Linked DNA regions of Arabidopsis thaliana. The protein of the gene in region 1 interacts with the protein of each later gene in a pairwise test. Each region holds a gene or a part of one and is shown on either strand. Other genes may lie near its edges.

Region 1 (4,302 bases):
CCCAACTATTAGAATTATGGACGAAGGAAAAAGACAAAATTGGAAGGCCCCTTAACAGTGAGTTTGATTAGGACGACAATAATAAAATGAAAATGATTGGTCCTATCCAAACTCATTGACGAAATAGTGTGTTAATGTAATAATATGATATATAAAAAAGAAAAAGGAAAAGAGAGTGTGTGAGTAAAAGATTGGTCGTCAGCTGGATTTATGATATTTCGGCGGCATATCCCGTCCCCACCGCACCACCAACCGGAAGGACCATGGCATGGATACACATTTGTCTCACTTTATATCATAAATAAAAAAATATTATATGTTATCCAGATTTCGTATCCAAAATTTTCTAACAAAATCTCCATTTTATAATTCTACTGACCTTTTTAAAAGGCACTGTTGTGACTTCATTTCAAGAGATACGTACCAAATCTTTATTATCAAATATATCGTGACGATAGACATGTACACACATATAATTGTAGTACGCATTACTACGGAAAGAATATTCCAAGAGCTTACCAATTCCATGCCGCATACATTGGCGTTTATCCTAAGTTAGACTTAGGATTCCTAACGTTCCGAATTTGCGTTGGAGAGCAAGTTCCTGATCTGCTTACGGAAAAATATATTCAAACTCAAATTGCGAATGCCGAGACCATTTCAATTTTTGGGTTTTTGTCGAAGGGATGATGAGCAAATTAAAGCTAGTCCACCTTTTTAATAAAATTGCTTGTGAAGAAGAAACAATTAGGTCCAATATTACTAGAGACAAAGGCAATTTATAATTTTAATATTTTTGGTACTGTTTAAAAAAAACTATCAGTACCAATTGAACAATTTCTAATTTTGATATTTATAATTTAGTTAAAAATATGTTTGTCATATTAATTCTTTTTTTGCTCATATTAATTCATTATCCAGTTTTTTAGTCATTACATTTTTATTTTTTTTTTGTTTAGTCATTACATTGAATTAGTCGAATCAGTACATAATCGTTTCATCAGAGAACTAGTGAATTAAACCGACCCAGACTAATTGGAAGCCTTAATTTTGGATCTTATATTGTAGGCATATTAACTTTTTAATTTTCTTACATAAATCCTTCATATGAAATGTTTGTTTTTAAATGGCCATGGCCCAGAACCATTGCATTTTTGGGCTGGATAGTGGATGTATATGTGAATTCGTCATCATACCAACCTGGTCTGGCCTCTTATTAGTGCAGTTAAGACTAAATAACCCGTTTGGTAGGGAGTAGGGACATTTATTATGTCTGGGGTCGTTATCGCCTTATCGGAATCAAATTGAGTTTAAAGACAAAACAGTATGATCGATTAATTATCAAACACAACTTGTTTATAAATGTATAGATGTCGACATCCACATGGTATCATAACTTCTTCTGCAACATATCCCTCGATATCATATCCACCATTAATCTAATTTATTGCAGTATAACGAGTCGAGATATGTTCATGAATTTTCAAACTCATTAAAAAATTGTTGTAATTTTTTGTTTCGTAAGTAAATTTTGTTTTTTTTCTCTTTCAATTTAACAATGTAATTTTCTGGATGAAAAATTTGCAAACGGTATAAAACTTAACATTTCATATGATTTTTTTTTGGATAAAATTACAATTAAAATAATAAATAAAAGATAATAAAGTATAACTTTTGTATATTTTCCTTTATAAAAAGTAATGAGGTTGTTAGATGGACGGGAAGACGGGGACGAGGCTTTACAGAGTTTTTCTATATCCTTGTTGTTTCCGAGTGGGAATAAGCTCAACACCAAAAACACGTGCTTATTTTATTTACACGTCTCTCTTCTCTTACTTTTTTTTTTTGGGTCCATAACACGTAGTTTTTTTTTTTTCAAATTCATAACACGTATATGAATCTCAGACCACTAGAAGCCAACAAATTATACGATCATTATAGACAATAATGAGAAGACTTCTAGTTTCGATCATAATATGTTTAGTTTATACATATACGTCACGTTTTATGCATTATATACACAATCTGGTCAACATAATTATGGAGTGGAGAAAATAATTTAAGCCGCGTCTCGTTGTCGAATATATAGTAAGAATACCTGAAAACACTTTCTATTCATAAACCCTTTACGACAAAACAATAAAGACGTCTCTCGATTTATCTTTGTCTTAATCAGGAAACTATTTGACATTTCTTTATCGATTATTACTTCATATTCGGGTATGGATGAAGATTTTTTCTTACCCGATTTCTCACTAGTAGACATTGATTTCGACTTTAATATTTACGAAGAAAATAATTTATCACCTGATGAATCTTTATCAAATTCACGAAGAGCTGATCAATCGTCAAAGTTTGATCATCAAATGCATTTTGAGTGCCTCAGAGAGAAGCCAAAGGCAGCGGTGAAGCCTATGATGAAGATCAACAACAAGCAACAACTGATTTCTTTTGATTTCTCTAGTAATGTTATTTCTTCTCCAGCCGCGGAGGAGATCATTATGGATAAATTGGTTGGTCGTGGAACCAAAAGAAAAACATGTTCTCATGGCACAAGATCTCCGGTTCTTGCGAAAGAACATGTTTTAGCCGAGAGAAAGCGCCGTGAGAAGCTTTCTGAAAAATTCATTGCTCTTTCAGCTCTCCTTCCCGGGCTTAAGAAGGTATTGCAAATTTAAATTGTAAATTATCGATAAATTTGTTATATATTTAACTATAGATATTTTCATAGTGAAGAAAAAATAATAATTCATCAGTGTCAATTGGTTTTGAGAATACAAAACTATCTTGTGGTTTTTTAGGCGGACAAGGTAACGATTCTTGATGACGCGATCTCGCGTATGAAACAACTCCAAGAACAACTAAGAACGCTCAAGGAAGAAAAAGAAGCAACGAGACAAATGGAATCCATGATTCTTGTAAAGAAATCTAAAGTGTTTTTCGACGAGGAACCTAACCTATCATGTTCTCCTTCAGTTCATATTGAATTCGATCAAGCATTACCAGAAATCGAAGCGAAAATTTCTCAAAATGACATTCTCATCCGAATCCTTTGCGAGAAAAGCAAAGGGTGCATGATCAACATACTAAACACAATTGAAAACTTTCAATTGCGCATTGAAAATAGCATCGTATTGCCATTCGGAGACTCGACTCTCGACATCACAGTCCTTGCACAGGTGATCATTAATAACTATATATATATGCAATACTAAAATGGATAACTCGTAGTTCATCCAATATAATATTGATGTATTAATGAAACTGATAATCTACAATTATGCTTTCTTAACTTTTTGTGTGGCAGATGGATAAAGATTTTTCGATGAGTATACTTAAGGATCTTGTACGGAACCTGAGACTCGCAATGGTTTAGGTCTTCTTTCAAGTTTTAGTAACCTGAGACTGTACATTGACACAATCGTTTCGTGGATTTGCTATCGTTTTCTTCTTGAGATTTTTTCACACGTGCCCACATGTTTGATGTGTTTTTTTAGCAAAGCTATTTCCGATAACGACCGTTGAGAATTAATTTAGATGTAACATTTTTTGTTTGTTAATAATGAATTTAAAATATAACAGAATTGTTTTTTTATTAAGTGGCAGAAATAAATGTGGCCTTATCCGCTGTCCAAAAAAAAAAAACAAATGTGGCCTTATCCTTAGCATGGTCGTAATGCCTTCTGACTTGTTAAAGTATTTTGTAATTATTGACAAACCCTCTTCAATTCTTAATGAAATTCACATTCATGTCAACAAGAAACATATTGTAGAAAGCAAACCTTTTAACCAATCAAAAAAAAAAAAAAAAAGGAAAAGAAGATTGCTTGACATTAAAAAGATATTGTAGAAAGCAAAATTACATCGAAGGTCAATGTTACAAAATTCTGAAATATTTACGAAAAAATAGTAGGGCATGAAAATGGATTAAAAGAATTAACTTAATTATCTATAGTTTTGCCCCAATAAAGATATACAATTATAGTTTTCGTAATTTATTTTGAAAGTTTCAGTAGTTAGCAAATTCAACAACTTAGCTACATTTGCTTTCGACAAAAAAAAAAGCTACATTTGCTCAAAAAAAAATGACGCTAAATTCAACCAAATTTATTACTATTTACCAATAACTATTTAGAAGTCATAGGGCAAGGGCAGTATCGGAGGGACGTGACCAAATAATAATTGCCGCACGACGCGGTACGATTAAAAGCCAATTCAAAACCTTTGAGTACCACCTAACAAAATCATTTCTTGGATACGTTTATACTCACCCCAAATCTGGGATACTAATCAATTATAAAG
Region 2 (5,720 bases), 5.7 Mb from region 1:
TGAATGCACCAATTTCCCCAAGCTCAAGTTACCGCCACAAGCCGAAAGCAAAACCACCATTGTCGTCTCATCTGGACAAAACCGCTTACCAATCATCTCACAAAAACACTCAAACACCAAATTTAACTTACCATTCTCAACAAGAGCAGTCATAATCGAGTTCCAAGAAACAACATTTCTCTCAGTCATTTCGTCGAACACCTTCCTGGCATCAGAAGTTTTCTTACAAGTACCATAAAGATGGATCAAATTGTTCCCAACATATACATCAAAATCAAACCCATGTTTCAAAACCTCAACTTGAATCTGTCTCCCAGCAGTGAGACCTAAAAACGAAGCACAAGCCTTGAGAAGAAAAGGAAAAGTGAGCTTATTAGGTTTGATTCCTCGTCTCTTCATCTCAGAGTAAACCCAAATCGATTCCACAGGAGAATCACTTGAAGAATAGCCTCTACTGAGCATATTCCAAGTAGAAGGAGTCGAATCTGAAGAGTGAAGCAGAAGGGTTCGCGCAAAGGCAAGGTCTTTGGCGAGGGATAGTGATGAAACCCGTACAAGCTCGCTGATGATAAAGCTGTCATTTTGGAGAGAGGAGAGATGGATTTGACCATGGATCTGTAGAAGGTGTTTAATTGAGGAACATAGCTTGAGGAAGATAAGACATTGGTGTTTCCTGGATTTGAAGCATGAATCTGAACTCCAAATCATTATGCCATTGGAGCTCTTAGAAATCGCAAAAAGTTTCAATTTTCAAATCGGTGATATATTTATAGATTTGGAACGGTTTTAACGGAACCGAAGTAAAATCAAAAGCTTATTCGGTTCGGTTTAATGTGAAATTGATATTTATCAACCAAAACATATCATCTTTACAAGGTCAGTAATATACAGAAGATTACACTTTCTCTCTGATTCTGAGATGGGTGTCAGAGGTTTTGGTTAGGAGGATCAATCTCTGATTAGAGTGTTGTTGTTTCCATTTCAAAGCTCTGATCATGAAAATTTCCTCCATGAATGTTCTTCTCGCTTCTAATCTCTGAGAACCAAAACCATGGTCGTGGGAAGATCCATGAATGATGTATCACAATCATGTGAGATGCAGATTCTGCAGAGCATGATTACAACTGTGAGTTCATGATCATGTTTCATGAAAACTAAAGGCTTTATATTAATATACTAACCAAATCAGGGAGGTGTTTATTAATCTGAATCTTCTTCACTCTCTTCTTCAGACTCGGAGCTAAGGAAACGAGCTGAGCTTCTGAGGGAAAATGATTTGTTACTCTTTGGAATCTTCGTTCTCTTTTGTTTTGTTGCAAAACCTTTCGCCACTAGTGTATCAAACAAATCTCCCATCTCCATTTTCTTTCTCAAACCATCATGTTCGTCCATGAACCTTCAGAACAATAAACATAAGACTGGGAAATATCAGATTCTAACACTAATAAAGACAATGTAAATATCAAAGGCCTGTTTCACTCGATAACATTCATTTGCTTGATCCGTTAGAGGAAACAACAGATGAATACTTCTATAGACAAGTGAAAACATCGATGCAGCAATAATTGGATCAAGCAACACCTTTCACGTATTGCTTTGAAGGCGTCTCTAGTTGCATAAGGAAGACCCGTTTTTGGATCCCGGTACCTGTATCAGCAATACACACAACAGCTAAGAACTAGTTCTAAAATTGCAGAGAAAAGATAATCAGGTTTCTAGGTTATAACATCATTTCTTTTCGAGAAGTATATATCAAAGAAACTGATAACTTCTTTTTAGTAGACCTAAGAGAGTCTACTTGTGTTCATCCCAGAGATCTTGTTCTTCCGATGAATAAAGAAGAAGAACAGAAAAACTCTTACTTGGCAGGTAATCCCGTAATCACACATACAGCTTTTTCTGGATCTGGAAAAGAGAAAACAAACCAAAAGAAAGACAGAGATCAGTATAGATCAATATGAACACATTTATGTTCATCTCCAAACACCACTCAAAATTACTTACAGGGAACAGACTTCGTCGACAACTCTGAATTGAATGACGCACCATTACAGAATTCTAAATAGTTACATCCTGCATGTAAAGTTAAAAGTTTAAACAAATATAGTTCTTACTTTTCTGGAAAGATCCAATTAGACTGGATTACTATTTTACTGGAGAGCTTACCATCTTTTGAATGATACCGAATCTGAGGACCCTTGTAGACTGCTTTATGCACAATCGCTTTCTTTTTTACTTCTTCTTCCCTTGCCAAGACACGTTCTAAATTCCTCAAGTTCATGATTTCTGCAAGAACCTGACTTTAGCAATTTTGAGTTTCTGATAGAGCAAATCAGATGCAGCATCATAAAAGCCAAACCTGTTTGAGCAGCTTCCAGCAGCATTTCTTCTTGGGTCATCCGTTTTTCCTCCCCTACTTTTTTCCTTTGTATTGGCTGAACAAACACAAAAAAGAATTCAACATGGCAAGACTTAGAAAAGAGATTAAAGTGTAGCCATGAATGTAAATAGCTAGTGGGGATGAGTTCTGAGAAACCTTTGTTGTTGCTTGTATAGCAGCACGCAATGCATCTCTTTCTGCTTGCCGTACAACCACTGAAGTCCGTGTTGATTTCCTAATGACTTTCTCACCTTCCATATCTTCTTGTGCTTCATTCTCTTCTTTTTCTTCTTGTTCCTTGTTTCCCAATTCTTCACCTGGCTTCTCATCTCCAGGAATATATTCTAGTTGTGAAACTACCTTCGTCTTCTTTTTCTTTTTCTTTGAAGCAGTTTTCCCAGGGTAAATCAGCCGCTTCTTTGGCAGATCCCTACAACAATATGCAAAATTGTAACAAAATTAAAACAGACACACATAATAGCCATCATAAGACAAGCTTTGAAAAAATTCAAACCTCAATTCTTTTTCATTTACAGCGACTGCATCAGGCTCAGGCTCCTAATCCCAAACAAAAGGCAAAAGAAAGAAATTAAAAAGAATGGAAATATAAGCAAAAACCTTGATGAATAAGTACTCAATACATAAGCAAGACATAAATACATCGTCATTGAAGTCACTGTCAAACTCATCAGCAACCTCACGTTCTGCTTCATATTCATCATCATGTTCTTCCTGCAGATAACAAAAGTAAAGAGATACATAAATGTCAGCAAACACACGAAAGTTTCTGCGATAGTATCTTGTCTACAAATCTGATTTTTTTCCATTATATATTTTGACATCTAGTCTACCTTAACAAATCATTAACATCTCTTTAAGAGAGTAAGCTATATATAAAACAAAACAAACCTCTTTAAGAGCTTCTTGATTCCAAAACTGTTCATCTTCTTCTACTTCGTCATCAAGCAACTTGGTCATCCTGAAAAAAAACAGAAAACTGATGAATAAAGCTTCCACAAGAGAGTTTCTGATACATCTCAATAACAGTGAGACAAAACCACAATCTTCAGGTGAAACACATTCATCAGGTAAAAGCTTAAGCTCAAGTAATTCTTACCGTTTACCCCGTGTTGCTCTTGTTGTACGGTCCAAGAACACCATTGGCTCTTCTTCATCGATTTCCATTGATAACTTGCTCAACTCTTACTTCTACAAGTTCACAAATTTAAACGAAAATGTCATAACACACAAATTAACAAATCAGCAAGGAACCCCCAAATTAGGGTTTCTCGCAATTTCAAGACTTTACGATTATATCGAGAGGGAAACAGGAACAAAAACCCAAAATTTGAGTGATGTACACAGTAATCGAAGAAGAGCCCATGAAAGCGAGAATGAAAAGTAATTTGTGTGATGAGCTTAAAATCTCGCTCGAGGAGTTACCTTCGGAAAATTTTAGGTTGGAGAAGTTTCTTCGACGAGCACACGTCTTCGCCGGCGACCGCCGCACCTCTTTGATTCACTCTTTCACACACGGTGCCGCTGGTTCGTACACCATTGTTATTGGACTTGAGATATTAATGGGCCTTCCACTTAGACATTTTCAAAGCCCATATTATATTAGAAGATTCTTTTTGTAAAATAAAACTTACAATGATAGACCGCTGGGGAAAAACGTTTTATTTTTATTTTTATTAATGACCTTGAGTAATTTCTTTTTACACTGGCATATATAAAATTTTAAATTAAATTTACGATGAAAAATCGTAACGTAAATAATACCAAAAAAGAAAGATGTTAAGATATATAAATCGGTTAACAAAATTGTCCAGAAATGGTAATATCATAGATAGATTTCAATTTTCAAGTCATGCATGATGTCATTTTGGATATAACACGAGTTGTCAACTTGTCATGATCGAGAAAGCAAAAGTAAACAAACAAAAAGTGTTTCTACACTCCTCTAAACTCCAAGGAGCAAGCAATATCGAAGTTGCGATCTCATGCAGGACCACTGGAGAAGGTTTCTACACTCTTCTAAAGCTACAGAAAAAAAAAAAGTATATAAGAAATTGTGTTTTTTTCTTCAATTTGAGTGTACGAATTCGAATGCTTAATAAGTATGTACTAACTAAGATGTTAGTATAAGATTCGATAATAGAGACAATTTCAAATAAAACTATCATAAATTGTTCTTGAACAAAGAGAAGTAATCGAGAACAAACGTCACAATCATTTTTTTTGGGTAATACAAAAGAAAAGTTACAATCTAAGAAAAGTTACAATCATTTCTTGGGTTGTTCTAATTGCATTATGTCTTGTAGCAAGAATGTGATGTTGGAATGAGAAGAGCCTCCTTCTTCCACAGCCTTGTGAGCTAATTCTCCAAGCTCTTTCACTCTTTTTCTTCTCTCCTTAGCATCATTACTATCACCCATCAATTCCTCCACTGCCTTCTTTACTCCTTCTTTATCCACCAGTACTCCTATTTTCTCCTCTTCTCCCCATCTCATGGACTCTTCAACCCCAGCTCTCACACCGGCTTTTAGTATCTGCACCGCCAATTTCTCATTGCAGAATTGGTCTCCAAACAGTGGCCACGTGAGTAATGGAACGCCTGAAGTGATTCCTTCAAGAGTAGAGTTCCATCCACAATGTGTCAAGAATCCTCCAACGGCAGGATGTGTAAGGATAAGCATTTGAGGCGACCATCCTGTTATGAGAAGGCCTCTTTCTTTGATTCTTTCCTTATAACCGCTCTCTGAGATCCATTCAAGTAACTCGTTATACTTCTCCCAACCTCTTATGACCCAAATGAAAGGTCTTTGGGATTCCTCGAGGCCTAAGCCGAGCTCTTTGAGCTGAGACAGAGGAAGATTGCATATACTTCCAAGGCAAACATATAGCACCGACCCTTCTTCTTTAGAATCAAGCCATTTAATACACTCGTCTTGATCAATGTCCGCCTTGTTTCCCCTCTCAGCTTGGTCTTCTCCTAACTTGTTGCACAAGGAAACCGGTCCGATGCTCCATATCTTACCCGCTTTAACCTTCTTGTAGTCTCTAACATAAGCTGGCTCGAGCTCTTCAAACGTGTTAACAATCACACCATAAGAAGTGTTATCCCCTTCTGTCATTCCGTCAAGGAAGTCTTTCCAATCTCCAGCAACTAATACCATTGGAAGCTGAGATTTTGTGAACTCAACTCTGTCAGGGAAATTAGGAATGGGGAAGTATTCCTTGTCAGACTCTATAGTTTCCAAGAACTCGTGGTTTTGGTGCATTATGTGCGTACAAAGAAGATTGAAGCAACACATGCCATGAAAGATGATTTTTGGTA

Evidence for each region.
Region 2: the proteins of AT2G22760 (region 1) and SWC2 interact in binary tests that used the Arabidopsis thaliana proteins (3 or more experiments, as listed by UniProt).

The regions. Positions count from the first base shown.
Region 1 is NC_003071.7:9,675,790-9,680,091, forward strand, and holds AT2G22760 (basic helix-loop-helix (bHLH) DNA-binding superfamily protein), read left to right. Parts: upstream 1-2,054; 5' UTR 2,055-2,222; coding exon 2,223-2,663; intron 2,664-2,801; coding exon 2,802-3,179; coding exon of another isoform or gene 3,180-3,215; exon of another isoform or gene 3,216-3,307; coding exon 3,308-3,376; 3' UTR 3,377-3,713; downstream 3,714-4,302.
Region 2 is NC_003071.7:15,405,866-15,411,585, forward strand, and holds SWC2 (DNA binding protein SWC2), read right to left. Parts: upstream 4,048-5,720; 5' UTR 3,824-4,047; intron 3,590-3,823; 5' UTR 3,566-3,589; coding exon 3,498-3,565; intron 3,360-3,497; coding exon 3,290-3,359; intron 3,113-3,289; coding exon 3,041-3,112; intron 2,939-3,040; coding exon 2,895-2,938; intron 2,811-2,894; coding exon 2,537-2,810; intron 2,436-2,536; coding exon 2,360-2,435; intron 2,287-2,359; coding exon 2,167-2,286; intron 2,074-2,166; coding exon 2,005-2,073; intron 1,906-2,004; coding exon 1,863-1,905; intron 1,648-1,862; coding exon 1,582-1,647; coding exon of another isoform or gene 1,506-1,581; exon of another isoform or gene 1,397-1,505; coding exon 1,201-1,396; 3' UTR 1,182-1,200; intron 1,106-1,181; 3' UTR 757-1,105; downstream 1-756. Other genes in the region: AT2G36730 (Pentatricopeptide repeat (PPR) superfamily protein), read right to left, coding at 1-708; UGT73C1 (UDP-glucosyl transferase 73C1), read right to left, coding at 4,666-5,720. UniProt on the Arabidopsis thaliana protein: Component of the SWR1 complex which mediates the ATP-dependent exchange of histone H2A for the H2A variant H2A.F/Z leading to transcriptional regulation of selected genes (e.g. FLC) by chromatin remodeling.